4 linked regions of the Notamacropus eugenii genome follow. The protein of the gene in region 1 purifies or fractionates together with the protein of each later gene. This does not show direct contact. Links are inferred from orthologs where the notes say so. Each region holds a gene or a part of one and is shown on either strand. Other genes may lie near its edges. The genes, in order: COPG2, COPB2, COPE and COPB1.

What was found.
Region 2: the proteins of COPG2 (region 1) and COPB2 fractionate together in Homo sapiens (co-fractionation; 4 studies listed by BioGRID and IntAct, with this or other methods). This does not show direct contact. The link is inferred for Notamacropus eugenii from reciprocal best matches to the Homo sapiens genes COPG2 and COPB2.
Region 3: the proteins of COPG2 (region 1) and COPE purify together in Homo sapiens (affinity purification with mass spectrometry; 5 studies listed by BioGRID and IntAct, with this or other methods). This does not show direct contact. The link is inferred for Notamacropus eugenii from reciprocal best matches to the Homo sapiens genes COPG2 and COPE.
Region 4: the proteins of COPG2 (region 1) and COPB1 purify together in Homo sapiens (affinity purification with western blotting; 4 studies listed by BioGRID and IntAct, with this or other methods). This does not show direct contact. The link is inferred for Notamacropus eugenii from reciprocal best matches to the Homo sapiens genes COPG2 and COPB1.

Annotation. Positions count from the first base shown.
Region 1 is NC_092874.1:119,742,475-119,749,364, forward strand, and holds the start of COPG2 (coatomer subunit gamma-2), read left to right. Parts: upstream 1-3,887; 5' UTR 3,888-3,892; coding exon 3,893-4,019; intron 4,020-4,350; exon of another isoform or gene 4,351-4,365; coding exon of another isoform or gene 4,366-4,459; intron 4,460-4,555; exon of another isoform or gene 4,556-4,678; coding exon of another isoform or gene 4,679-4,778; exon of another isoform or gene 4,779-5,252; coding exon of another isoform or gene 5,253-5,337; intron 5,338-5,914; coding exon 5,915-5,967; intron 5,968-6,556; coding exon 6,557-6,637; intron 6,638-6,890. UniProt on the Homo sapiens protein: The coatomer is a cytosolic protein complex that binds to dilysine motifs and reversibly associates with Golgi non-clathrin-coated vesicles, which further mediate biosynthetic protein transport from the ER, via the Golgi up to the trans Golgi network.
Region 2 is NC_092876.1:327,604,187-327,611,570, reverse strand, and holds the start of COPB2 (coatomer subunit beta'), read right to left. Parts: upstream 3,016-7,384; 5' UTR 2,883-3,015; coding exon 2,880-2,882; intron 1-2,879. UniProt on the Homo sapiens protein: The coatomer is a cytosolic protein complex that binds to dilysine motifs and reversibly associates with Golgi non-clathrin-coated vesicles, which further mediate biosynthetic protein transport from the ER, via the Golgi up to the trans Golgi network.
Region 3 is NC_092875.1:66,442,489-66,450,052, forward strand, and holds the start of COPE (coatomer subunit epsilon), read left to right. Parts: upstream 1-4,555; 5' UTR 4,556-4,646; coding exon 4,647-4,778; intron 4,779-7,564. Other genes in the region: probable ATP-dependent RNA helicase DDX49, read right to left, coding at 3,204-3,327, 4,208-4,322. UniProt on the Homo sapiens protein: The coatomer is a cytosolic protein complex that binds to dilysine motifs and reversibly associates with Golgi non-clathrin-coated vesicles, which further mediate biosynthetic protein transport from the ER, via the Golgi up to the trans Golgi network.
Region 4 is NC_092877.1:37,925,348-37,932,240, forward strand, and holds the start of COPB1 (coatomer subunit beta), read right to left. Parts: upstream 3,022-6,893; 5' UTR 2,846-3,021; intron 1,433-2,845; 5' UTR 1,374-1,432; coding exon 1,283-1,373; intron 1-1,282. UniProt on the Homo sapiens protein: The coatomer is a cytosolic protein complex that binds to dilysine motifs and reversibly associates with Golgi non-clathrin-coated vesicles, which further mediate biosynthetic protein transport from the ER, via the Golgi up to the trans Golgi network.

The sequences.
Region 1 (6,890 bases):
CCCCCCACTCACACTCAGTACTCCTATCTTCTTCATATATGCATCACTGCTCACTAGAACAACAGAAGAGTCCATGAACTCCCTCTTCTCACAGAACAGCAGGCGTGTCCATGTGAAAGGACACCAGCCACTGCCCCCAGACCCACTCCTCATATTTCCCACAGAAACAGCAGGTGTATCCATGCACTCAACCACAACCGCATCCATCAAGTCTCAGACAGGACCACAGTAGTCAGCCAATCAGAAAGCAGCAGCACCAGGATGACCAAGCTGGATGTGGACCCCAAAACAATAGAAGGGACTTTCCCTAAGTGGGCACCTATGCAGAAATAGCAAAAGCTGTCCTTTAGATGAACTTATGACATAGAGAGGTTTATTATAATATCATTATCATACATACATAACCCCTTATGGGTTTTTTTCTGTAGCATTGTGAGTAATCGCATGTGCAGTTCCACTGAGGTTGGGAGCCCTCCCTTATTATCTAATCCCTTAATAAACTCCTCCTGCCTTTTTAATATTCATAATTTTTGTTACATAACTGCATCTTTACCCTATAAAAATCCATCTTGCTTTCCTAAAGTTGATAGTTCTTCTTGGAACTTAGCCCACTTAATGAGAGGCACCAATCTCAATAAATGCCTATACTTGGATGAGAGGTGTTTTGACTGAATTCTTTGAGATGGTTCCTCCACAACACATCCGTAAACCACAACACTATCATTTTCCCTTCTTCAGCCACAAGAACAACAGAAAATCACAACTCATGCTGGTCTCCCGCTGATGAAGAAGAAATTAAAGACTGAACCCAGGACTCCCTTTCCTGTAGCAATATTGGAGGATGCTATACCTAAGCGGGAACAGTGGTACAGGTGAAGCCCCAGCACTTTCCCTTACTAAGCCTCCCTTGTTCATGTGTTTGAGCACTGTGTTGGATTTGGAGCCTGGTACAGAGGCCAACTAGAGAGAAAGGTGACTCTGGAACTGCTATACCATATAGCACAGTAGTGGAGAGTGCTGGGCCTGGAGTCAGAAAGACCTGGGTTCAGATCCAGCTTCAGACACTTACTAGCTTTGTGACCCTAGACAAGTCACTTCACCTGTTTGCCTCAGTTTCCTCAACTGAAAAATAGGGATAATAATAGTACCTACCTTCTAGGATTGTTATGGGGATCTAAGGAGATTTATAAAGCACTTAGCACTTACCCTAGAACATAATTGCTTAATAAATACTTGTTACTTTTGTTCAACCTCCTTAACTACTTCCCTTCCTTTTCTCCTTCTTCCCTTCTTTTCTTCCGCCCTCTATTCCCCTTTCCTTCCCACCTTCCTTTATGTGCTCATAAGTCCTATAGGGCCAACTCCTAGTAACACCCTCTAAGATTCCATAAACCTCTTTTCTTTCAAACGCCATTAATCATAGGCTCCTTTCCTCTCTAAAACCCAGACAATGGAATTAACTTTTAACTGACAGATTCCCTTCTATCATGACCCTTGACTCTGGCTCCACTAAATGAATTTTCCCTGTTAAGGTTTTCCACCAATGCTGATTTCAAGGGTGAAGCCAAGTTTTCAAAGTTCCATGCCCTAAAGAAGCAGCAGGAAAAGTATCCTGAACTTTCCTTTGTTCCAGATTTTAGGTCAGGTAAGAAGAAAGATGTCGAAGTTCTCCTCCCTCTCTATTAAAGCATTGTTTTGGGGGCTGGATGCAAGTAAACACTAGAACTTGTTTAGAGAACAGGTAAAAAGAGGTTTGATGAATGTCCAGAGTAAACTTGCCTGTCACTTGTTCATACACAATGGGGATCAAAGCAGCAGAAGATCAGGTTCAAATCCCAACTTTATGACTACTACCTGTATGACCTTGGACCAGTTAACTCCATTTGTAAAATAAAGGAGTTGGACAAGATGGCCTCTGAAAGTCCTTTTAGCAGTGTGAAGTTGCTATGGCGTTGGACTTGGAGTTAGAAAGTCTTGGATTCAAATCCCAGCTCAGATCTTTACTGGCTGTGTGACCACCTGCAAGTGACTTAAACCTTTTTGTGCCTCAGTTTCAAGAACTGTAAAATGAGAAAGTTGGACTTCTTGAATTGTAAAGTCCTTTCCAAGCTCTAAACCTATGATCCTATAATCCTTTCACCTCTAAATCTCCTTTAATCTCCAGATTCCAAAGGCAAACTAAACAAACCTTTGAGATTTCCCTCTTTGCTCAATGAAGAACAATGTTCACACAAATCAGTGGCTGTCATAGAATTGAGGATTCATCTAATTCTATTTGGCCTCAGAGAGATGAACTTGGGTTGAAGTTATAGAAAGCAGATTTATGAGTAATGGAAGGAAAAATTTCTTTACAATTAAAACTGCTCAAAAGTGGAATGGGAGTTTTCCCCTCACTAGAAGCCTTCAAACAAAGGCTAGAGAAGGACTCCTTGGGATTCTGTTTCAGGTAGGGGTAAAACTAGACAGTCATTGGAGTAAATCTTTTCTGATTCTTAAGACTCTGTGGTTCTGAGTGGAGACGTATAGATAGGCAGAGGGGGAAAGAAGGGCAGTCCAAGTGGGTTCAAAGCTTGGCTGTCCCCCATGCCTGAAACACTCCTTACTTCTGCCTCCTCCTAGCTGACTTCCCTCAAGTTTCAGCTAATGTCCCACCTCCTGCAAGAAGCCTCTTCCAGTCCTTCATCTTAGTGCCTTCCCTCGGAGACTGCCAAATAATTTATCTTGTCTCTATCTCACATGTACTTAGTTATTTGCAAGCTGTCTCCCACATCAGACAAGAAGCTCTTTGAGAACAGGGGCTGTTTTCTGCTTTTCTTCGTATCCCTAGCGATGGTTGGGGATACACAGGTACAGAATGCCTGTCATATAGTGGGCTCTTAATCAGTGTTTTTTGACTAAGGGCAGAGGAGTAGAACGTACAGAGAAAGGGGGAGGACAATATGATCTCAAGAATATCTCACTGATGTTGACTGACAAATCATGGAAAAGAAGGGGGTAGAAATGAGCCTCATGACTTGGGAATACAGAGTGCCTCCTTCCTCCTAATGCAGAGTCAGTAAGCATTAAGTGCCTTCCATGTGCTAAGCGCTGGGGATATAAAGGGAGGCAAAAGAACAGCCCCTGTTCTCAAGAAGTTTACAACCTAACGGGTGGAGGACAGCGCGCACACAAATACAGACACAGCAAGCTATGTACAGGATAAATCGGACAGAATGAGCAGAGAGAGGCACTTAGAATCAGGAGGGCTGGGAAGGACTTCTGGCGGGAGGTGGGCTGGCAGCTGGAGGGCAGCATCCCGGAGGTGCAGGGACCTTCTCCTCGGTCGGACGGTCCAAGCGCCCCACTCCCGGAGGCACCACCTTCTCACGGCTTTCTCTGCTTGCCTGCAGCCGCAAGGGAAGCGAGGAGCAGACGGAAGATCTCCGTGGTAACCTGGGAGCCCCTGACCCTCGCGACCCTCCTGGAGGAGAAGCCCACGCTGACCGTGCCCTTGCCAGGAGAGAGCCCCTTCCGCTACGGGAGGGCCACGCAGTGGTTCATAAACACGACCGCGGTTCCTGACTGAGTCACGCGAGCTCCCGAGGCGCGGCACCCACTGCCACGGTCGGGCCCGCACTCGGGGCCTCCGCGTGACTAGGAGCGCCAGCCCAAAGGACCTCGTGTGTCTGTCACTCCGCGGCTCTGCAATGGGAGCTGTCGGTGCAGAATCGACCCACTTGTGCTCTCTATACGCGTGTTCGAGTGCATCTGTGCGCACGGAGGGAAGGGAGTGTTAGCACGGAGGGGAAGGCGTGACTACCGGCAGGGCGGGGCGGGGCTGACACCGCGCGGCAGGGGAAAGGGGCGGGGTTTCTGCTGGAGTGACGGGCGAACTGCCCAGCCAGCTGGAGGGATGGGGGCCGGGCTTCCGGTGGAGCCTGTTCCTCTCGGCGGTGTCGGCTCCGACGGTTCCGGTTGGCCTAGGGATCAGTTGTCGCGGGAGATGATTAAAAAATTCGACAAGAAGGACGAAGAGTCTGGTACACGCAGGGACCTGGGGAACGCCTCCGACCCCCACTTTCCAGCGCTTCCTCCTCGTAGTGCGGGGGCGGAGGGGCGGGGGCCGCGCGTCTTCCTCCCCCTGAGAGCTGGACGGAGGGAAGGGGGGAGGAGCGCGCGGGGCTGAGAGCGGCTCGGAGCTGGAGTCCCTCCTCCTCCACCAGGGCGAGTCCGTCGCGTGGCCCCTCCCCCAACTCGAGACCCTGCCTTCCCCCTTCTCCCCCTCCGGGTCCGGCCGCGTGCGCCGCGCCTGGCCTGCCCCACACCACCCGCCCCGCCCCTCGGCCCCGGCGCACGGGAGCCCTCCCCTGGCCGGCCCTCGGGCGCATGCTCCCGCTGCGCTGCCCCTCGCAGCCCTGCCCCTCCGGCCCCGGGGGTTGGTGGCGGAGAGGAGGCGGGGCCATGGCTGGAGGCGGTCGAAGTGAGCAGGGGAGGGGGCGAAGGGGCGGCGTGGGAGGGGGTGGGGGGCGAGGGTAAGAAGCGTGAGAACCCCCGGATCTCTGAAACCTAGGGCCGTTGCTCCTTGGTTCACATTCTCGGGGGGAAGCGAGAGTTCGTACACGCCCGGGGCCCCGACTTCCCTCGTGGGCCGTCCAGCCCAGCTCCGGGCTTTGGGGCCGGGGAAGCTGAGGGTGGGAAAATGGAAGGTTTAGGAAGGAGGGACGGGATCGCGGCTGGATTTGAAGGGCCCTCTCGTGGAAGACGGATTAGAACCTCCCCGCTTGCCCTCAGACCCAAAGGTGTCTCTTGTCAGGAGTAACTTGGCGTCGGTGGAGAGGAGTTGCCCACGATCAGGGCTGCCCCAAGTGGGCCAGGGCCGGCCTAGGACACGGTGGATCTCCCTCTTGGGGGACGTGGAGGGCGCTGGAGACCCCGGCCCCCAGCTGAAAGGGGGCAGACTCCAACACCTGGTGGCAGAACGGCGCCTTTGACCTAGACTCCCGGGGGGAACTCAGGCCTGCATCTTGGCTGGAGCGGAGGCGGGGCCTCCTGACTCTGGGAAGTTTCCCCTCAGTTTTCCTTGTTGCAAAGTTACTGAAATGAGTACTTAGTTAAAGAGCTCAAAGTGCTACAACAGTTTGATGCATGCTTGTCACAAAGGCCCATGGAGTTGGAAGGGACCTTGAAGCCCGTGCAGTCTGTCATGAGTCTCATTGAGAAGACCCCCTGCCAGCTAGACCAACTCCTTCATTTTTAAGATGAGAAAGTGAGATATGAATAGCGACAAGAAGCTCACGGATCTCACTCTCTTCTTTTGGATGCCTTCAATGGATAGGAAGTGCTTTCAGTCTACACCTAGTAATTCCTACTTATTTGATAGTTCCCAGTTTTGTCCCAGAAAATCTCAGAAGAATTTGTTCCAGGAAACTTGTTTTATAGCTTGGGCTTTCAGCCCCTACCACCTTACCCTAGGGCTATAGGGGCATACATTTAAAAAATGGAAGGGATATTAGAGGCTATCAAATTCAACCTCCTCTTCCTCCACGCACACTTTTTACAGAAATAGAAACTGAGTTACAGAGAGGTCACACAAGTAAGAATCCCAGCTAGGATCTGAACTTTTGTGTTCCTATTTCAAAGCCCGGCACTCCACCATTTACACCATAATATAATTCTTATTTAAGTCAGATTTTTGGTAAGTGTTCCAAAGTCGGGAGGTATGTCAGCAGAGCTAGACATAGAACCAAGGTCACTTCATTTCATCTACCAGCAACTTAGTAATGCCTGCCATTGTGGTATCCAGATGCTCAGGCTCTTATAAAAGTTTTCCTGAATTTGTTTCGATTTTTAAAATTTTGTTTCCAGTGTTGCTTAATTGTTGGTAAATGAATTTGCCTGTGGCTAGTTCTCAATACTATTTTGTTTTCTTTTTTAGGGAGTGGCTCTAACCCTTTTCAGCATCTGGAGAAGAGTGCTGTTTTGCAGGAGGTATGACTTAGAAGTATATTGTCTTTTATGTTTGTTTTCCCCAGAGTGGGATCAGAACATCTCTAGGAGACATTGGAGACATTCAGAGTTTATGTTGTAGTTATCATGACTGAAAAATGTTTGCCTAGTATTGAATTAAAGCATATAATGAATGAGATAAAATAATGCAGCCTAAAGGAAAAAAAGAACAATGTTTTGTCATTGGATGTTAGAAGAACATAAATATGCTGTGATGCCATGAAAATTTTGGTATGAAAGATGTCAAACAGGTACTTTGTATAAAGCTGCTGACAGAAGTTATAAATGTTAAATTTCATACCAGCTTTTTGAGTTACCTTAATATTGTGATTCTTATTTTGAAAAATGAAATTCTGAAATTAAACCGAAGGGAAAGAGTGGAATAGTATAATATAGAGACATATTTCCTAGTTCATTTTTCTAATATAATAAACTAAATGCTTCATTTAACTAATATTACTTAGACTTTATGATAAAAGAGTTTGACAACATCATTAATTTGTTGAAGACAATTTATTGAGATTTGTGATTGAGAAGGAAAAGGTACTATGTATTTGCTTTGCTCCCCCAGGCTCGTATCTTCAATGAGACTCCTATCAATCCAAGACGATGTCTACATATTCTGACCAAGATCCTTTATTTACTGAACCAGGTAAATGAAACTTAGGGAAGCAGTTCTTTCTGGGGCTCAGTTTTCCTAATCCATAGAATGAAAGGGTTTGACTAGATGAACTTTAAAGATCTCTTTGACTGCTTAAGTCCTATGGTTTTTTATTCTTTCAAAATTTGTCGTTTTTAAAAGTAAGCTTTTTTAAAATCCAGAAAGTTTATTTTAATTGAATAACAAGATTGAAAAGTCCTTGAGGGCAGAGACCATATTATGTACCTTTTTGGTATTCTCCCAT
Region 2 (7,384 bases), on another chromosome or scaffold:
AATCAAATTCAGGTTACAAAATATAGACTATTCCCTTTTTTGAAAAGTTAGAATGACATTATTTGCTCTTTTTCAGTCCTCTACTATCCTAAAAATTCTGAATTAATATTCAATAATCACAATCACCACTATAGCTACCCTGGGATGTAACTTGGAGGAGAGCAAACAGTATGATGAAAAGCTTCGGTCATGCTATTTGAGAAGTGGTTGAAATAACTGATATTTAGCCCAAACAAGAATTAGTGGCGGATAAGATTACTTGGGAGAGGGGGCCAAATGGAAGATGGATTAGCCTTGTTCTTTTTGGCCCAAAATGACAGAATAAAAAGTTCTGATAAGAAGTTACGGAGAGGTAGATATCTGCTTGACATACAGAAAAAAAAAACCTACCAAAAGAGCTATCCCCAAGTAGAATAGGATCGTTTAGGAGACAATGAGTTACTCCTCTCTAGAGAACTTCAAGCAACCTAACATTCCCTTCCTTTCACTTCAAAACATCCACTGCCATACGTTCCTCACTATCTTGGGCTTTCCCTGTTTTCTTCACATACTTTTTCTACCTTCTAGTACTTCTCTGTGCTTTCTTGATTCCATCCACTCCAGCCTCCCTCTGCAATTCCCCCAAGTGGCTCCTTTCCCTCTACCTACAAACATGTTAATTCTCCCCTATTTTAAAAAATGATCTCTTTATGCTGCTGCTCCATTGAGCTACATCCTGGCTTGCTTTTTTTTTAAAGTCTTTTCACTGCCAAATTCCTGAAAAGAACTGTTATCTCTGCCTCTACTTCCTCATCACTCACGAACTCTATACTCCCTCCCTTGTCATTTAACCCAAATTACTCTTCTGAATGTCACCAAACACCTGTGAACTGCCAATGGCCTCTCCTTAGTTTTCAACCTCCTTGATTTCTGCGGCATCTGATGCTACTGACTATACAATTACCCTGGAACTTTGTCCACTTGGGCATTAGTAACACTTGGCTTTCAGTAAGCATCTATTTTTTTCTAGATAACAAAGGAAGATACAAAGATCAGTTAAGACAAAGCCCATGCCCTCATAAAGCTTATAGTCTAATAGGTAAATAAAACACAATTAATGCATTACATAGATGTCTATACAAAATAACATGTCACATGACATCCTGAGGGAAGCTTCATAAAAAAGTGGTATTTAAACATCTCCATAACCAAAAAGGAACAGTCTCTCTGCACTGGTTAGACCACATTTGTATTATTATATTTAGATGCTACATTTTAAGAGGGAAATTGACAAGCTAAAAGGGAGGTAGAAGGACTCATAACCATGCCATAAATGGGATTATTGAAAAAACTGTTCAAGAGAGGAGATTTAGCACAAATTAGCTTCAAATATTTAAAAAACCATCGTGTGAGTGATTTTAGAGAGCAAAACAAAGACCAGTGGGTAAAATTATATAGAATGAGCCCAACCTTACAAAGAAGTTCCTAAAAATCAGATTTCTCTAAAACTGGAGTAGACTGTCTCCTGGAGTACTAAATGCTGTGTACCTAAAGATGCTTAGACATAGGTTGAATGCTGACTTGCCACAGTAGGAGGAGATTCAGGGACAGGACTAGATGACTTGTTACATCCCTTCAAACTCTATGATTCTACCTCTGTTGTTGCTATTCACTGTGTAACTTTGGACAAATCATTTAACCTTTTCTGACCTCCATCCCCTCCTCTTGAAAGATTAATTTTTTCCTAAAATTCTTTCATAACGAAATTATTCTGAGTCCATCAATCTTTGTGATGGGAAAAGGAAAGAAAAAAATAATTCAACCTGGCAGAAAGACTTCTTTACATTTCCTAAGAGGCAAGAAATGTGCACTTTTGAGGAAACCCTGAATATAATAACACACTACCAAATACTTGTAAAGATATTTATGAGAATGAGAATACTCAAGTGACATTAAAAAGACAACTTTTGTTTTTAGAAATATAAGGAATGGATAATAGGCATTTTTATATAGCAAACTTTTTAAAAAATATAGTTGTAAAACACTTTAGTAATGTACACTTCAACTTTTCTAGATTTATAAAATTCTAGTTAAAAGGGTTTGGAGACAATTTTATTAGACTTAATTTGTCCTTTATATACATAAAAACGTTTGACATTCTTTACTTCACTTTATACCTTTTAAGTGCTGTATAATAAGATCAAGTACCTCCAGCTTTGTATCATGACCGTAGAGTTGGAAAATAACGTGAAAAGCATCTAAATGAACGCTTTTAATGTACAACTTTGATGCTAACAATGACTGTCACTTTCATCTCCTGAGAAATGACCCGCCCCGAAAACCAGCCATTACGATCCAGTCTCTAAGTCAGCACAGTCCTGGTTTCTCTGGGTGTCATCTCTAGGAAGAGCAGCAGCAGACTGACAGTGATACCGGGCTTTAAGGGTCTGCAAACCACTGTGCCCAAGTGGCTTCATTTGGTCCTAGGAACAACACCGCGAGGCAGGGGCTACAGGTGTTATCGTTCCACTTCACGTATAAGGACACTGCGTCTCGGAGAGGTCAAAGAGTTCACCCACGAGGGAAAGAAGCCGACACCCCGTTTCTCCCACTTGCAGCCCGCCCCGCCTCCCGCTCGCGGTCCGTCCCCCGCCCCATCCCTCCTTCGGAAATCGGTGGTCCCACAACACCTGGGCCCGTAACTCCTGCACACAGCCGGGTGGGGACCGGGCGGCAGAAGCCCAGGGCTCCCGGGGCCCCTCTTCCCCTCCCCCTCTCCCGTCGTAGGAGGCCCTGAGGAGATCTCCGGAGCTGCCCTGGCCACGGCAACCCCTGCAGGGCCAGCGCCGATCCGCCTCGCGCTTTCGTTTATTTTGAAGCCTGCAAGGCCAAAGTCTCACCATGGCTCCGTCAGCGACGCCGAACTCCCTCGCTCGATGCCGGGTCCCGGGGCCCGCTAGCTCGGGGTTGACGCTGGCGCTGGCAGAACACTGACCAACTGACTGACGTGGAGCTTCCGGGAGGCCGGCTCTCGCGAGATCTGGCGTCTCAGCACGGGAACGCCGGGACTAACCTCGCGAGAGTTTTCGCGGCGCCGGGGCTCGGGGTTCACATTCCTCCTCACCCAGCACACCTCACTTCCGTCCGTTGCCTTGGCAACCCACCCGGAGCCCGGGGGTCTCCCTGAGCCGGATTGCATGCTTATTGGGCCAGGATCCAGAGGTTCCGCGGCAGTGCAGGGAACGTGGGGTCCGGGAGGAGAGACATCCCCGCGGAGCCCCAGGCTGAGGGGAGCCCGCCCCTCCTGAGCAGAGGAGCGAGGGAAGACCGGGAAGAAAACCTTCCTGGTGCCCCGCCAGGCGCCCTTCCTGTTCCTGTCCCTAAGAAAGAAGGCAGCCCGGCCCAGTGGAGCGACCGGGGCTGTGAAGAAGCCCATGAGGCCCAGGCTCAGGGCCCGACTGCCGCTTCCCCGCAGAGGATGTTGAGATGGAGGGGATCTTAGAGATCGCCCGGGCTCCTCCTCCCCACCCTGCCTTTTTACCGATGAGAAAAATCAATGGCCAGAAAGGGCAGAAGCCTTTGCCCTGGGCCACACGACCTCTGCATCGGGAGGGGGCGGGTGGCGCTCGTGAAGAGAAAAGGGGGGTGCGGATCCTGCTTCAGATCCTTGGTGACTTCTGACTTCTCAGCCTTAGCTCATCTGTGTGTAGGAACCGAACTAAGGTGAGGGGAGGGAGAAACTTTACCCACAAGTGTTGGGGAAAATGTACTTTTTTTTTTCTTACTATATCTATGAAGTAAATGTGCCTTTGTAAAACTCTTGGCAACCCAGACGGGTATGTGAAGTGATTATATGGAATTGGGGGGCTACTTACTGGCCCTCTAAAATAGGAGAAAGCAGTCACTGGAGCTTTGGGCTGATGAAGTAGAATGAAAAATAACCCCAAGTTTCACAGGGTACCTAAGACGAAGGGAGAGGGGCAGGGAAGGAGGGGAGGAGTAAACAGCCTAACCCAGAGATAGTGAGGCCAGAGCAGCCTCTTTAATGTGAGATGCTAAGATAATGTATCAGAAGTGCTTTCCATCGAAGTTTTGATTAAAGTTTTGTAACTGAGCTATTGTGATAATTACTATATATTATATGTTATTATTGCATAATATACATTATAATATTATAAATCCGGAACTCCACTAAATCACCTTGCATTCTCATTGTTGGTCTCAGTCTCTGACTCTGTAAAAGATAGGGGGTAGCTCTGACTGTCACTAGCTCTGATATTTATTCTATCAAAGGTTTTTTTGGGGGGAGAAGAGAATGATGTGGGCTGTGGTTTGATAACTATTTTTCCAGGGGCTTTAAAAGTGGGATACAAATTCCTTGTACAAGAAGAGACAGATTTTTAAAAAATATTTTACTTTTTTCCCCAATTACATTCATTTTTCAAAATTTTGAGTTCCAAATTCTCTCCTTCCTCTCCCCTTTCCTTGAGAGAGTAAACAATTTGACATGTTATATATGTGCAGTTATGCAAAACATTTCCATATTAATCATGTGAAAGAAAACAGACAAAAACATGAAAATAAAGTGAAAAATAGTCTGCTTCAATCTGCATTCAGACTCCATCAGTTCTTTCTCTGAAGGGGGTAGCATCTTTCTTCATGAATCCTTTGGAATTGTCTCAGATCCTTGCATTGCCCAGTCATTCACAGCTGGTCATCATACAATAATGCTGTTACTATGTGCAATGTACTGGTTTTGCTCACTTTGCATAAGTTCATGTAGGTCTTTTCAGGTTTTTCTAGAATTACCCTGCTTGTCATTTCTTACAGTACAATAGTATTCCATTACAATCATATACAACAACTTTTTCAGCCATTCCTTGATTGATGGATATCTCCTCAATTTCTAATTCTTTGCTACTATATTTTTGTACAAATAGGTAATCGCCCCTCCCCCCCTCCTTTTAATCTCTGGTTATAGACCTACTATTTATTGGTAATCCTGGATCAAAGGATATGCAGTTTCATAACCTTTTGAAACTAGTTCAAAATTGTTTTCCAGAATTGGTAGATCAGTTCCAACTCCACTAACAGTGCATTAGTATCCCTGTTTTCCCACATCCTGCACAGCATTTATCATTTTCCTTCCTGTTATATTAGCCAATGTGATCGGTGTGAGATGTTTTAGTTTGTATTAAATTGTTTTAATTTTATATTTCTCTAAATAATAGCAATTTAGAGCTTTTTTCATATAAGTATAGATAGCTTTGATTTCTTCTGTTTATACTTTGACCATTTATCAATTGGAGAGTGACTTGGTATATCAATTTTACTCAGTTCTCTATATATTTGAGAAATGAGGCCTTTATCAGAGACACTTGCTGTAAAAAAAAAAAATTCTTCCCAGCTTTCCTTCTGATCTTGATGGCATTTGGTCTTGTTTGTGCCAAAACTTTTTAATTTAATATAATTAAAATTATCCATTGTATAGTAATCCTCTCTGTCTCTTGTTTGGTCATAAATTCTTCACTTCTCCATAGATCAGAGAAGTAAACTATTCCTTGCTCTCCTAATTTGTTTTTGGTATCACACTTTATGTCTAAATCAGGTACCCGTTTTGACCTTTCCGCGGTATACTATGTGAGATATTGGTCTATACCTAGAGTCTTCCATTCTGTTTTCCAGTTTTCCCGGCAATTTTTGTCAAATAGTGCTTTCTTGTCCCAAAAGTTTGGGACACTAGATTACTATGGTCATTTACTACTGTGTGTTACGTATCTAATCCATTCCACTGATGGAAACAGATAAATGTTGGAAATTTGGGGTTTCATAGGAAAGGACAAGTGACTGACAGAGGCAGAGCATAGAATCTTCATCTCTGAATAGCTTTGAGAAGACTCTCCCAGTCTTTGGGAACAAAGGAAGAGCAACGATAATGATCTTTGGGGAGAAAATAGATAACTTGATGGTTTTTAAACATGTAGTATGGTGTAATCAGAAGTGCCCCAGGTCAGGAGCATGGCTGCTGTGACTAGCTGTGCATCTGTCGGCACTTCACTTAACCAATTTCTTTGAACCTCGGTTTTCTCACCTCTAAAATGTAGATAGAATTGTGCACACAGGGTTGTAGGGATCAAATGAGATAAACTTGCATTCATTTGGTAACTGAATTACTAGGTAAATATAAGGTATTACTTGACTGACGACGGTATTGAACTCTTAGTTCATAATCTTTTTTTGGCAATGTCCCTCAGCAATGATCTAAACACCATTGGTAGGTTTATTGTCCCACAGTGCTTCTGCCTGACTTTGTAGAGGATGCTTACTCTGGCCATCATAAATATAACTCATACTTTAAATACTCTCCTAGTTTATAGCTACTTTTAACTAATAAGAGCTTTACAATGTACTAGATATTGAACACAATAAAAAAGGAAAGCTTGTTCTTTCACTGTGGTTGAAATGAACATTTTAACAAGATAGAATGCACACACTTCCATAGATAGAGCATTTATTGATGGTTAAATATGTGCCAGGCACTGTGCTAAGTGTCCCTATATTAATAAAAACAAAAAAAGAGTTGTCCTCAAGGAGCTTGTATTCTAATAGAGAATACAGTACATAAAGAGGGGATAGAAAGGTATAGTACACATTCTGATATGGTATAGAGATAAGAAATGAGATGGAAGCCTGGATCCAGATAAGACAAGGCAAAAACTCAGTCTTGATGGTGCTAGGGGCAGAGCCCAAAGTTCTCATAGAAAAGAGGTGGAGTTGATGGCCCTACCTGAAAGAGAATAGCATGGACACAGTCAAGATACACGTATTTGGGGAAAATGCCTTTATGTTTGGTTCTAGTAGTTTCCCACCTACTCCCTATGACATTTAAAAAGTTCAAGAGACATAATTTCTGGCTAACTAGTCATTTTAATAATAATGCTAACATTTTAATAAAAGAGGTCAGTGGCACTCTAGAATGCCAGACTGTCACTGTGGTGTGCTCCCTCAAGGTTTATGTGACTTTGGAAAAGTGGGTGTTCCCGAGGGTGGCAATCAACTCTGACTGGTTAACAAGTAATAAGAGAAAGAATATTAATGATGAGGGACTGGACCTATGCAAATGAACTTTGATTATGTCATTTACTTCTCAATTACCCCCAGCCTTGAGCAATCTAATGAAAGAATTTATCCCTTCCCCCCCAAACCTGAGCGGAGCACAGTGGGCTTCTCCACCTTACATTAAATTCCTTGTGAGGTTAGGTGGGACCTGACCAATGCTGAGGAAGTTAATTCAGTCTCATTATCAGTAACATCCTTCAAGAGACTGAGCTTTGAAATGAGGACTATAGAAAAAGGGAGAACTCTGTATATCTCCAAATCCTTGGTTATTAATAATCATTTTTCT
Region 3 (7,564 bases), on another chromosome or scaffold:
TGTCTTTCTTACCTCTATGCCTAGAACATACAGAAAGGGTTTATTCAATGTTTGTTGATAGACTGATACCAATGCACAAGTAAATATACATTAAATACCATCACACAAATGATCTCTCCAAAGTTACCAATGGGCCTCTTACTTGCCAAATTCGATGTTTGCAGTCCTCATTCTTCTCAAACTATCTGCTGTATCTAACATGACCTCCCTTTTCTCCTGGATATTCCCTCCTGGTTTTCCTCACACCTGTTAATCATTCCTCTGTCTCCTTAGGGGGCTCCTCATCCATATCACACCCTCTAACTATAAGAGTTCCCTAAAATTCCATAACAGGAAAACAGATTTAAAGCTGAAAGGGACCTCAGGAGCTATCCAGTCCAACCCCCTCCATTGGCAGATGAGGAAGGCTACAAAACTTACCCAAGGTCATGAATGGTCATGAACATGAGAAGTGGGATTTGAATCTGGCTTAGGCCCATTCCTACTCTCAGTAGCTAGGTGATGCCGGGCCTAGAATCAGTAAGAGTGAGTTCAAGTCAGTCTCATATGTCTAATAGCAGTGTGTCCCTGGATAAGTCATTTAACCTCTGCTTACTTCAGTTTTCTTAATCATAAAATGGGGATGATAATAGCCCCTACCTCCCAGGGAGACATCTGTAAAGCACTCAGCACAAAGCCTGGCACACTGTAGGCACTTACAAATGCTTGTCTGCCTCCTCCCTTGGTGGCTTCAACTCTCATGGGTTCACCTGTCACTCCATGCTTCAGTTTTGTATCACCACCTGCCTATTTCAGCCTGGACATCGTAAAGACATCTCAAACACAACATGTCCAAAACAAGACTCCTATTTCCCCTCCAAAGCTTTCCCATTTCTGTCAAAGGCACCATCATTCTTCCTGTCTTCTAGGTTCATAATCTCAGTGCTTTCTCTGACTACTCATTCTCCCTGACCTCACAGATCCAATTAGTTGCCAAATCTTCTGTGTCTGCCTCCACAATGTTCCTCTCCTCTCTACTCGCACAGCTACGACCTTCATTCAGGCCCTCCTCACCTCATGCCTGTGTTATTGCCTAAAAACTAATGGTCTGCTAACTGGTCTCCCTGCCTCAAGCCTCTCCTCATTTTAATCCATGCTACACACTGGCTAAGTGCATATCTGACCACATCTCCCTCCTCCTCTCAATCAACTACAATAGCTTCCTATGCTTTTGGAATAAAATAAACGCCTTCTTTAAAGTCACTTTTTACGCCCTTCACAATCTTGCCCTAGTCTTTCCATCCTCACCAGGTGTGACTCTCCCTCCCAAACTCTACAGCAGCCACACCGCTTTTCTGTTGCTTACACATGAAACTCAATGTCCTGTCGCCTGTGCCTGAAACGCAATCCCCTACATCTTCACTTCAGAGATGTCCTCTCTTGCATCAAGACAGTTCAAGTGCCACCTTCTACATGAAGCCTTTCCTACCCTACACAACTGACAGAAGCCTCCCTGGCAAACTGCCTTGTAAAGAATAAGTCTACATCTATCTTCTTTATATTCTGCATTACCTTAGCTCTTTATGAAGCAGAGCTTATTTTAACCACTGTATTTTTTTATCCCTAGAACAGTGCTTGGCACACAGTAGACACTTAATGTTTAGTTGGCTTTTCAGCTGTGTCCGACTCTCTGTGACCCCATTTGGAATTTTCTTGGCAAAGATAGTAGAGTAGTTTGCCATTTCCTTCTCCAGCTCATTTTAATAGTTTAAGTGACTTGCTCAGGGTCACACAGCTAGTAGGTGTCTGAGACTGGATTTGAACTTGGGAAGATGAGTCTTACTGACTCCAGGCCTGGCACTCTATCTACTGAGCCACCTAGCTGCCCCATTTATTTAAGAAATATCTATTAACTAATTAATACATAACGTAACACTAAGTTCCATCAAGAGAGAGAGTTCTAATAATGGAGGGAAAAGAAAGCCCTTGTTTCAGAAGTGATGTCTGAGCTATGTCTAGGGATTCTGTGAGGAGAAAGGGGAGAGAGGGAGTATGTTCCAGAAATGAAGAACTGCTTGTGTAAAAGTACAGAGGGGTTTAAGGAACAGCCAACACGGCAGTCTGAGTAAAGCAGAGAGCAGATGAAGGAGGCTGCCTTCCTTAATCTGGCACCTACCACCCTCTCTAGTCCTATCTCAATTTACTCCCCTCAATGAAACCTCTGCCAGAGCCAAAATGAACAATTCTTTGCCCTCCAAACACACATCACAGTTTCAACCCTCCCTGTCTTTACTTCAGTTGCTTCCTATCCCTATGCCTGTTCTCCCTTTGTCTGCTAATTTCTTACCCATCCTTTAAAGCTCACCTCAAATACAACATCCTCCAGGAAACTGTTCCTGATAGCCACTCTACTCAATTGTTAACAACCTTACACCCATCAGAACTCATACAGCCCAGTCATATATACTGTGTGTTATAGTTATCTGTGCACATGTCTCCTCCCCTAGCTAGAATATAAAATCCAGTAAGTCGATAAGCATTTATTAAGTGCCTACTCTGTGCCAGGCACAAGAGATACAAAGAAAGACAAAAAACCGTTCCTGCCCTCAGGGAGCGCAGTCTCATGGGGGAGGCAACATGCCCACAACGATGTACAAACAGAATACAGACTGTATAAAGCAGAGATGATCAATTGGGGGAAGACATTAGAGCAGAGATAATCTAATACTGCATCTCCTCCAGTCCTAGAACAGTGCAAATATTTGCTGCATTGTATAGCTCTATTGCAGGGCAGCTAGGGGTACAGTGGGTATAGAGCACTGGGCATGGAGTCAGGAGGATCTGAATTCAAATCTAGCCTCCAACACAGTTACTGGTTGTATGATCCTGAGCAAGTCACTTAACCTTGTTTGTTTCAGTTTCCTCCTCTGTAAAATGAGCTGGAGAAGGAAGTGGCAAACCACTCCAGCACCTTTGTCAAGAAAACCCCAATGAGGTCATGGAGAGTCAGATACACCTGAAATGACTGAACAACTGTAGTCTTGTCTGACCTCAGACAGCTAAAAGGTGCTAGATCTAGATCTGGATCCCATTTCTCCAAGGCTTTTTCCCCATCGTGCATGATACCCTTTGTTACAATACTCACAGTGGACGTATGGAAAAAGAGTAACAGATTTTAATTTACAGTAAATGTTACCTCACTGGAAAGGTGAACATGGCCATACCTGGTGGGCGTTAGCACAAGACAGAAAATGCCATACGGGTCTTCAGACAACTTCTGCAGAATTGGCAGCACAAAGGCAGCAGTCTTGCCGCTGCCAGTCTTTGCACATGCCATGCAGTCTCGACCTAAGACAACAAAAACAACAATAATTGTGACCTTTTGCACACAGGGCACTTTACCAAGTGATTTTTAAATACTTTTTCTAATTTTGTCCCTGTGAGGTAGTGCAAGTGTTATTCGCCCCACCTTCCAGAGGGGAAATAACTTTTCCAGGGCACCCCAGGAAGTCTGCAGCGCAGGCAGACATCCCACAGGACAGAAGCCAGGTGGGTCTCCTGATTGTCGCTCCAGGACTCTTTGCAGGACCAGCTGCTGCCTCGGATAAAAGAGGCCTGGAGAAACCTAAAGCCCATGAGGGAAGAGGGGAAGGAATCAGGAGGTGGGAAAGAGACGCTTTCTAGAGCAAAAGGAGGGAAAGCACTCGGCACAAGGAAGAATCCACAGGGTACCTAGAAGGATAAAGGGCAAGAACTGTGGGGGGGGCAAAGGAGGCAGCAGGGAAGGAGGAAGGTAAATGGGCGGGGGAGGCTGGAGAACTGAGGGTTTAAATGAAATCACCGGGGGAAGCGCTATATAAACGTCAGATTATTATTACAGGGAGCAGGGGAGATGGCAGAGAAAGAGCACGGAAGCTGACGCACGCTGGAGGTGGAAGAAACTGGGGAATGAAAGGGAGGTAGGAGGAGAGGGGATGGAAGAAGGGAGAGCCGAGAGAAAGGAAGCGAGGAGGATGGTAAGAGGTAACAATTCTAGCGCCCTGTAGTCTCATTTTATCCATCCAACAACCCCGAGAGTAAGCGCTGTTATGAATCGACGTTTTACAGATGGGGAAACTGAGGCAGGGGAGGAAAACGACTTGCTCAGAGGCAGATTCGCTGGGAGTGGGGCGTGGAGGCGGGGTCTTCTCATCGATCGCCACGGTGGGGGCGGGGGGGGGCAGCTCACCCTCCAGGATGGCGGGGATGCAGTTCTGCTGCACCGGCGTGGGACGCTTCAGGCCCAGCTGTTTACACTGCGCCACGAGCCACGACGCCAGCCCCAGCTCCGCGAACGCGGCCATGGCTCCCCCGGCTCCGCGGCGGCGGGCTGGTCCTCCCCTGCTGCTCCTGCTCCTTCTCCTCCTCCTGCTCCTCTCCCACAGGTACCCACGCCTGCTGCACCCCAGCACCACAGCGGCCCCCGAAGAGCTCCCCGCGCGCCGGTCCTGCCGCAGTTCCGGAGCGTCACCACGTCCCCGCCCAGACACGCCTCCCTCCTTCCTCCCCCCTCCCCAGCCCCGCCCCTTCTAGTTCCGCTCAAGGCCAGAACTACGATTCCCAGAGGGCCGTGCGGGCGCCGGCTTGCGTCACTTCCTCCTCGTCTCTGTCGACGTGTCGGTAACAAGATGGCCCCTCCGGCTCCCGGTACCGGCCCGGCCCCCGGCGGCCCAGGGGAAGTGGACGAGCTGTTCGACGTGAAGAACGCCTTCTACATCGGCAGCTACCAGCAGTGCATCAACGAGGCGCAGCGCGTCAAGGTGCGTGCAGCGGGCCGGGACGGAGGGCAGGGCGGGAGGTCCGGGGTCCGCGGCGCCTTCCTCCTTCCTCGGCCCCGGCCTAGACCGTGGTCAGGGCCGGGCCCGGGGATTCCTAGCCTAGCCCAGCCTAGCCTAGCCCAGCCCAGCCGCCAGGGCCCTTTAGGAGGGATCTCGTCCAAATCCTCGCGCCCCATTTTGCCGACGGGCAAACTGAGGCCCAGAGGGCGCGGACGGCCGATACAGCGAATTCCTTCAATTCAGCGAATGTTCATGTAGCGCCTCCTACGTGCTGAGCCCTGGGGAGACCCACGACGATGGGACCTGCAGACAGGGTCCTAGGTGCCCAGGCCAACCCCTTCGTTTTACAGGTGGAAGAAACTGAGGCTTCAGAGCCGCTAACGATTTGCGCGAGGTCAGCAGGTAGTAAATAGGAAACGGAGATTCACAGCCAGGACCCCGGACTCCAAATCCAGCCTTCTTCTGGGGGGCGGGGGCAACACACTAAAACTTTGAAATGTTCACCCGGGCCAAGAAAAGGCAGAGACGAAGTGCTCTAGGTAAAGGAGACCTCGAGAGATTGTCCAGCCCCGCTTGTACCTGAATGGTCAAGAATCTCCTCCCGCCCCCAAATTTTATTTAACAAGGGGACATCTGGCCTGCACAGGGAGATCTCTAGTGATGGGCACCTCACTACCCGCCGAGGAAAACAACTCCACCCTTGGACGGTTCTCATTGCTAAGAAGCCGTCCCTCCTCCCAGTTAATGGTCTTTCCGCAAGCCTCTCTAGGGAAGCCTGGTTAAGACTAGCTATAGATAGTCAAGCTTCATTAACCTCATCTGGGACTGTTAAAGAACCTGAGTGGGCTGCCTCAGTAGCTAGGATGGGAGGTGTGGTCAAAAGACAGAGTAGAAATTTTCTGGTAGGGCTCCAAACTTAGATGAGTGTAAACTTGCTGAAAGAGACCTCTAGGTCCAAGGCTGAACCTTGGAGTTTTCTGTCTTCCCCCCACTCAAGGCTTTCTCTCCTCCTGAGAGGGGAGGTGGAAGGGCAACTATGTATTTCCCTACCCAAAGTAAACGGGACCTTTAAATAGCTAAATTGTCTACCTTGGACAGCTCTTTGATCTCAACTGGGTGGAGCCTACCATGAGAGGGGTGTCAGGTAGGAAGTGGTCATTTTTATCCATTAAATGGTAAGTTTTACAGATGATTAAGAAAAAGTTGCCTTGGACTAGTTTTTGGGAAAACCTAAGCTTGGTGCCCTCCAAAATCCAGGCTCCAGTAAGGTATCTTCATAAGGCAAACTTGTAAGTATCAGGTCCCCAGCCCTGTTTTCAATTTAGGATTTTCTACAGGTTTGTCATTTGAACATTTACCAAATTCTTCCCAAAGGTGGCAGGTAGAAAGAAATAGTTTCAAAGGAGCCCAATAGCAAAGGTAATGATTTACATGTTCAGAACACTCTACAGTTTAAAAAAGGGGGAAGGAAAGAACCTTCACATACATTTTGATTTGATTCTCGTAGGAGCCCTGTGAGGTAGGTAGCAGAAACATTATCCTCATCTTTGAGAATAAGTTCTGGGAGGTCAAAGACTATTTCATTTTTGACTTTTTATCTCTAGGATGGTGCCTTACATTCTGAGTTGAATGAAGAAATAGAGGCTTCATCCACTTTTTCTGTAGGAAATCCTATAGAAGTCATGGAACTTGAGAGTTGGAAAAGGCCTCATTGTCCAACCTATATATGAATGGAATCTCCCCAATGACATGCCTGAGAGGCAGTGATCCAGCCTCCAAGTAGAGGGGGAATCCTCCCCTGCTCCAGGCAGTCCATTCTGCTTTCTGAGAGCTGTCATTGTGAGAATGTTTTTCTGACCTCAGTCCCAAATTTGCTTCTCCAGAATTCCAGCCCATTGCTCCTAGTTCTACCCTCTGATGCCAGCTAGAACAACGCTCGTCCTGCCTTCACGTGACAGGCTTTTATGTACTTAATGATCTGAATCTTCTCTTCTTTGGGCTAAACATGCCCTAGTTCCTTCTCTCTGCAGACTTCCCTGTGGAATCTCAGTTAAGACTGACTGTGGGACATCCCTATGATGTCCTCAGAGTCCGTGACATGGATCCAAGGCTCTACACCATCCTGGTTGCCCCCTAATTGGATATAGTACTCCAGATGAAGTCTGATGAGATCAAAACTATGCCCCTCTTAAGGCAGCCCAGATTATCCTGGCTTCTTTTGGCTTCCACAGCACACTGCTAGCTCCTGTAGAGCTAGTGATCCACTTAAACACCCAGATCTTTTTCAGATCAGCTGCTTTTTCTCTGTGCTTCCCCATCTTATGTTCATGAAGCTGAATTTTTGTGCCCACATGCAGGTTTCCCATTTGTTTCAGTGAATCTTATTAGATTCAGCTCAGTGCTCCAGCCTGTTGAAATCCTTTTGAATCCTACTTGTCATCGGAAGTGCCAGCTTCTTCCAAGCTGGGTGTCATTTGCAGACTGGATGAACCTGCCACTTAGTCATTTATCCACACCATTGATCATTGATAAGACTCAGGGCTCCTTCTGCCGTGCTGACGCAGAATCACTGGCAGCCCCTGCTGAATCCATTTAATGTGTTATTTTCAATGCATAGCTTTTCCACAAAAGTGGTAAGAGAAATTTTATCAAAAGCTTTGCTAAAATCTGCATAAACTCTATCCGTTGCCTTTCCCTTATTCACTAGAGACCCTGTCAGAAAGGAAAGTGGGATTAATCCCACGTTAATCAAAGCCGTGCTGGCTCTT
Region 4 (6,893 bases), on another chromosome or scaffold:
ATTTGTATTACTATAGATAACCTAAGTCTTAGTTTATTTATTTATAGGAAGGGATAATAATACCTATCAGCTGCCCATCTAACAATGTTTCACTGGGGATCAAATCACACACACACACACACACTCACACATGGACACCCCCTCACACACTCTCACACATACACACTCACACACCCATGGATACCCCCTCACACCCACACACACACCTACACCCACGGACACCCCCTCACACACACACACACACTCACATACACACACACACACACACACACACACACACACTCTCTCTCTCTCTGTCAATTGCTGCGTAATGCCACTTACTGTTATAATTATTGTTACTGCTACCTTTCCTTCTAGCCCTAAATCTTTGGATCTTAGGTGAGAAGTCCATCTCCTTTGGTTTACCTAAAGAAATATAAGAAGACCCTACAGGGGTCTCACAAAGAGACCAAGACAGTTTCAACCTTGTACACACACCATCAATTACCCAGCACTTCTTAATAAGAAGAGAAGCCCTTTAAAAATCAAGGTTGTGTTTTTTGGGAGGAGAAAGGGAACAAGCATTCACATAGCTCCTACTCTGTGCCAGGCACTGTGCAAAGCACCTTGCAAATGTCTCATCGCACAGCCCATCTCTTATGTTCTCTTTGCATTATTCAGACCACGTCCTACTTTCAAATTTCAATCCAATTTAAAAAATATTTGGTGAGTGCTGATATATGCAATGTACCATGTAGGTGCTGGAAATTTAAACAAAGAATAATACATGCAAAGTCTTAGCACAAGAGGTTTTCATTTTTAGTGACAGATAATCACAGAATATTCAGAAGCACTTTTACTAACCTATTTATACACGGTTTTCTTCATATAAAAACTCTGGATTAAAATCCCCTACATTAACCTTTCTTTTATGCCTCTTCATGTTGTGATGATGACCATAGATTCACAAAGGCTGTGTCAACAAGGTTCAAGCTCTGGCTTACCAAGGAGAAAAGTTCTGAAAAACTGCTTTTTATCACTGGAAAACCAGCTTAGCAAGGTTCAGAAAAACACATTCCCAGAAAATTAGCCAAAGTGTAACAAACTTTGTCCCACAACTCATGAAGATGGTACACGAAATAAACCTTAAGTAGGATTGTGAGCTATGCTGATAATGGCGGGCCACACAAAGATAAAACCATGGATCTCGTGTATTGAAATCAAACAAAAATCTATGTTTCTAATTATAAATTACCTCCATAAACAAATATGTTCATGTCAAGGTTTCCCATCCTTCACTTACCAAGGTCATTTTTTAAGATAATTTCTGATGGTGGTTCTGAATCCATTGGTACGTTAATTAACGTATAGCATACATTTTCTGCAGCAGTCATGGTGTTTGGTTATGGGTACTCCACAGTGCAAGTATTTTTGATGACAGGTATCAGAAATTCTAGAATAAGTACAAGATATCATTACTTATTAAAAGTTTCGATAAGTCAACAAACATAATTCTAACATGGGCAACGAAAATACACTCAGGTCTGCTTAATAACTTTAAAACAATCTTAAGATTGGCCTGGCATAGCATCGCATGTCTGTGAATCTTATGACTGGGGAAGCTGAAGATGCTGTACTGCTTGAGTTGGGAAATGTTTAGCTCACTAAAGTCAATTGGGCATCAGTACCAATATGGGAGCCTTCGGGAGGGAGGGGGAAGAGCCACCTGGCTGCCTAAAGAGAGGACAAAGTGACCCAAGTTGGAAAAGTAGCAAAATCAAAGCCTCTGGGCTGATCCAGGCCAGGACTAGCCTGTGTGCAGCCAATGCCCTCCCAGCCTGGGCATGGTGGGGAGGCAGTCTCCATTTTTTAAAAATAATTGTAGTCTAAGATTCCAAGGCAGTTATTTCATTGCAATGAATACAGGGTCACCTAAACGTGCGCCAGGCATCCCTTGTACAAAACAAGTTTCCGCCCAGTCTAGCCTTCGAGACTGGCAGCCCTCAGATTAGGCTGCAGAGAGGTGCCCAGCAGCTGGGGACAAGGCCAGACCCTGCCCCCCCATCCTGCAGAGTCCATCAGGATCCAGGCCACTGAGGGGGTTTGGGAGACACCTGCATTTCCTTCCTTACAAGCTGGGAGACCCCAGGTCCCTCACATTTCCTTTCCAAGGTAAAATGGGGGCAATTTTTCTTCTGCCTATCCCCCCTTTTTCTTTACCCACTTCAGGGTGGTTTTGGGGAGATTTCTAAGAGCTAAAGGGCCAAAGGATATCTTTGTGATGATGGGACATCATTATAGGGATGACAGGGACAGTCGATCAACGCGCATTTATTAGGCGCCTGTGGTATGCCGGGCGCTGGGGATATAAAAGCTCCTCCAGGAGCTGCCAGTCTAGGGCACGCTGCCTGCAAACACCATCCAGGGGAATGCCAGGGAGCGCCAGGAAGAGCTGCCCTGCAAAGCCTCCCCTCGAGGGGAGCCGGGGGCACAGAAGGGAAGGGAGAGCATTCCGGGCGGCGGGGACGGGCGGGGGAAAAGCCCGGGGTCAGGAGATGGCCGTGGGGAACGGGCAAGCCAAGGTGGAACGGGGGAGGGGGGGCTGGGTGGGGCGGCTCCGGCCCAGGCAGGAAGGGCTACAGGTCAAGCCCCGGCTTCCCGGGCTGTGTCAGCACCCCCAGGGTCGGGGGTCGGAGGCCCGACAGGCGTCCCCCCTCCCCCACTCCCGCCCCCTGCCCGGCCTGGGGGGAGGGCTCCGAGGACAGGGCCGAGCAGGCCCAGGGACGCGACCCCGCCGAGGGCCGCCCTCCCGCCCCTTCCCAGCGGAGCGGCGCGGCCCCCACTCGGGCCTAGCCTCGACTCCTACCCGCTACCCGGCCCGGGGCGGTGACGGCGGCAGCAACGGCAGCGGCGGCTCCGGCTCCTCAGAGTCCCGGGCTGACGTGGAAGGGATGAAGACCGAAGCCACCTAGTGTCTACGGCGGCCCGGAGAGGACACGCCTCCTCCCGCCGCTCAGCTTCGCCTCCCACGTCCTAGGCCCCGCCCCCACATTCTAGGCCCGCCTCCTACGTCCTCGGCCCCCGCCCCATCCCCGCCCCCTGCTGGGCGGCTGCGCGGTGCCGAGGCTGGCTACGCATCCCTAGGCTCAGCGCGCCTCTGTCCCTGGGATCCTGGCGGCGTAGCCCTGCTCCGGGCCCCGGAGAGACCTGGAGCGGAGCTGAGAATAGCAAGAGTAACGATAATGTAACGTAATGCAACATACAGCATATAATTGACACAATGTATCGTGTCGTTGGGCGGCACAGGGCGCAGACCGCTGCCCCTGGAGTCAGTACAGCTAGCTGTGTGACCCTGGGCAAGTCATGTAACCCTGCTTGCCTCAGGGTCCTCTTCAGTTGGAGAAGGAGATGGCAAAGCACTCCAGTGTCTCTGCCAAGAAAACTCCAAAGGGGGTCAGGGAGAGTGGCACACAACAGAACTACAAGCCTTATATTTCCTGTTTATATCTTGTCAGATTCTTCTCTGCTACTGGATGTGTAACAGTAAGCTCTTTCAAAGGCAGAGAATGTTTCGTTTTTCATATCTGTACCCTCTGCCCTTAGCAATCAATCAGTCACTTCCTAAACATTTACTAAGCACCTACTATGTGCCAGGCATTAAGCTAAGCACTGGGGATACAGTAACAGGCAAAGATGGTCCCTGTCCTGGAGGCTCTGCACAGTGGTTGAGTGAAATAATAGGGATAATAGTAATTACTAACATTTATATAGCGCCTTACTGTGTCAGTGGTACCCTGTCAGTAGCTGTTGCAAGAAGGTTCATGATAGCTGGAATTTTCCTGCTTTAGTAGAAAACTCAAAGAATTTTCATAAAATTCTTAGTATATGCTAGAGACAGCCTCACCACTTGGTCAGATCTTGCTTTTCTCTATCTCTGGTAAGCATTCCCTAGTCATGGCTCCATGAGTCTCTCCAGGACTGCTGGTGGTATTGAGGGCTCACCTGGCCTGATACGTGCTGCCCTCCCTTCTCCTATTACTACAGCTTCTCAGCACCCAACACCGTCCTCCCCAGGACAGAATTAGCAGCATGGAGTATATTTCTGTTGCCATCAGACTTGCTGACCCTGTGTGAGAATTGCCAGTGATTGATCACACTGGATTAATGCTTTCAGGCAAAGGTTTTATTCCCTTGGCAGATGTGAAACTATCAGAATAATTTGAGAAGCTTTTGTGCCCTCCCAGGCAGTCTCTTGGAAGGTGCCTAGCATCCCTTTCTTCCTTGGCACTCTACTACATAAGGCCTTTCCCAAGAGTTTTATCTTTTCTCTCCTAGGGGCAGCTAGGTGGTGCAATGGATACAGCAGGAGTCAGGAGTACCTGAGTTCAAATCTCACCTCAGACACTTGACACTCACTAGCTGTATGACCTTGGGCAAGTCACTTAACCCCAGTTGCCTCATCCTGGGTCATCTCCAGTCATCTTGATGAATATCTGGTTCCTGGATTCAGATAGCTCTGGAGTAGTGAGGCTGGATGTAGGGTTATAGGAAGACTACAATACATTCAGAATAATGGAAACTTCTTATACTGTTCCAAATTTTGGATGTCCCTTGACACTGTCCATTGCCACAAACAGCTCGTCAAGCCTGTGCACAAGTTTCTGACCTCTGACCTAACCGTGCTAGGTCACAATCCTGATCACCCAAAGCTTGTGGAAACAAAACTTATTGTTTCCCACAAGGTATCAGCCCTTTCTAGTCATCTTATTATCAAACAGGTACTTATTACCTATTCTATCGTATCCTCCAAGTCTACTCATTTGAGATTTTAAAGAAAACACTCAAAATTTGTTCCAATTCTGGAAGTTTTCATACTTTTTCCCCTATCATTGTTGTTATTCAGTCATGTCTCACTCTCCCTGACCCCATTTGGGGTTTTCTTGGCAGAGATGCTAGAGTGGTTTGTCATTTCTTTCTCCAGCTGTTTTTACAGATGAGGAATCTCAGGCAAACAGGGTTATGTGACTTGCCCAAGGTCACACAGTAAGTGTCTGAGGCTGGATTTGAACTCAGGTCTTTCTGACTTGAGGCCTGGTGCACCTTCCACTGTGCCACCTTGTTGCCCTCCTTTCACAAGGCAGTTGGAGTCATTTCCAAGGTATATTTCCAAGGTTCCTTCCAACTCTAAGACCTAAGATCTCTGAGAAATGGTCATTCAACCTCTGCTTGAAGACCTTCAAGGAAGATCATGTCTCAAGGTAGTCCCTTTCCCTTCGGCATAGCTTTGTTAGGAAGTATTTATTTAAATACTTGCTTCGATAGCTTCCAACAATTGTTTTTGATTCTGCCCTCTGGGGTCAAAAAACCCCTAAATCCATTCCCTATAACACATGGCAAAATAACTTCAGACAGTATTGATGAGCAGCTATGATAAATCCTATTAAATCTTTTCTTCAGGCTAAATTAGCCCAGTACTTTCAACCAATTCTTAAATGTCAGTTTCAAATCTTCCCACCATGCTAGTCAATATGTTACATATAAATAATAATAATAATAATGAACGCAGTGCTGCATAGATTACATAGGTTTCCAAAGTGCTTTATGTCACTTCATCTTCATAATCTGTAAGGGAGGTGATATTATTATCCCCATTTTATAGATTTTATAGATGAGGAAAACTAAGATCCAGAAAGGTCAATTCACTTAGCAACACGCAGCTAGCTAGCAACACACGGTAAGGCAGGAGCTGTGACCATAGGAGGAACAATGACCAGGCTGCATCTCATAGGGGCCAATGGCTGAGGGAATTGTTGATCCCAAGGCTCTTGGTCTCAGAATTCTGGGCTGTTTCCTTGAGGCCTGAGGGGAGATGGTGATCAGGGTGGTGGTTTGCTGCCTATCTCTCCCTCAAGGGCCCTTGCTGCTTCAGCTAGGCTGGCGGAAGGTGGGGATGGTTGACCCGTTCTCCACAGGAGCTGTTTCCCAGGAAAATAGCTGAGGGCACTGGGCTGGAAGCATAGCTAGCTATTCCCAAGGCTCCTAAGTTCAGGGTCTTGGGATGTTTGCCATTAGTCTGAGGGGAGATGGGAGTGGTGCTATTACTCACCTGACACTCGCTGGCTTGACTTCACTTCTCTAAAACCTGTTTCTTCATTTCAAAAATAGGACTCTCAAAACCTGTACCGCCCACCTCCTAAGGTTGTTGTAAGCAAAATCCTTTTTAAACTATAAAACTACTTAGACGTCAGTGATTATTATAGGCAAACTAGCAAATAATCCCCGTCTTTGGTACTGGTCTTTGGGCCATATGGTTTTTTTTTTTTACAAGACTGACTTTCTTACTAGTGTTTTATTATGTCTAAATTAAAATGAGTTTAACTTCGCACAGTGGTGATAAGGGGTGGGTCACAAGTTTAAGAACAGAAACTAGAGATTATATCCTTTCACCTAGTGATCTCACTGGTGGGAACATACTCTAAGGAAGTTAATGACAAGGGAAAAGACCCAAGAGTACAAAAAATTTGTAGTACTGTTATTTATAATATTGAAAAACTCTTAACTACCCAAATATCCATGGACTGAGGAATGGCAGAATCTGTTCCCCAGGATTGTTAAATGTTCCCAACCTTACCTCTGCCTCTCAGACAACCTAATTTCCTTCACAGCTCATGTGCCATATTCTACTTTTCCATGATGTTCACTAGAATGATGGCTATTTCCTTTAGAAAAAATGCCAATTTTTAAAGGAATGGGTCCCAGATAATTGGGGTGTTTCCTCCCACCCCAGACCCTCTATTCCAAACTACACCTGTCAGCTGGTCAAGAGATTTCCAGCTTCACTGCCCTGTCGTCCTTATTTGAGGGCTGAGAATGAAGGTGATGATATATTCTTTTTCCCTTTTAGTTCAGCAAAT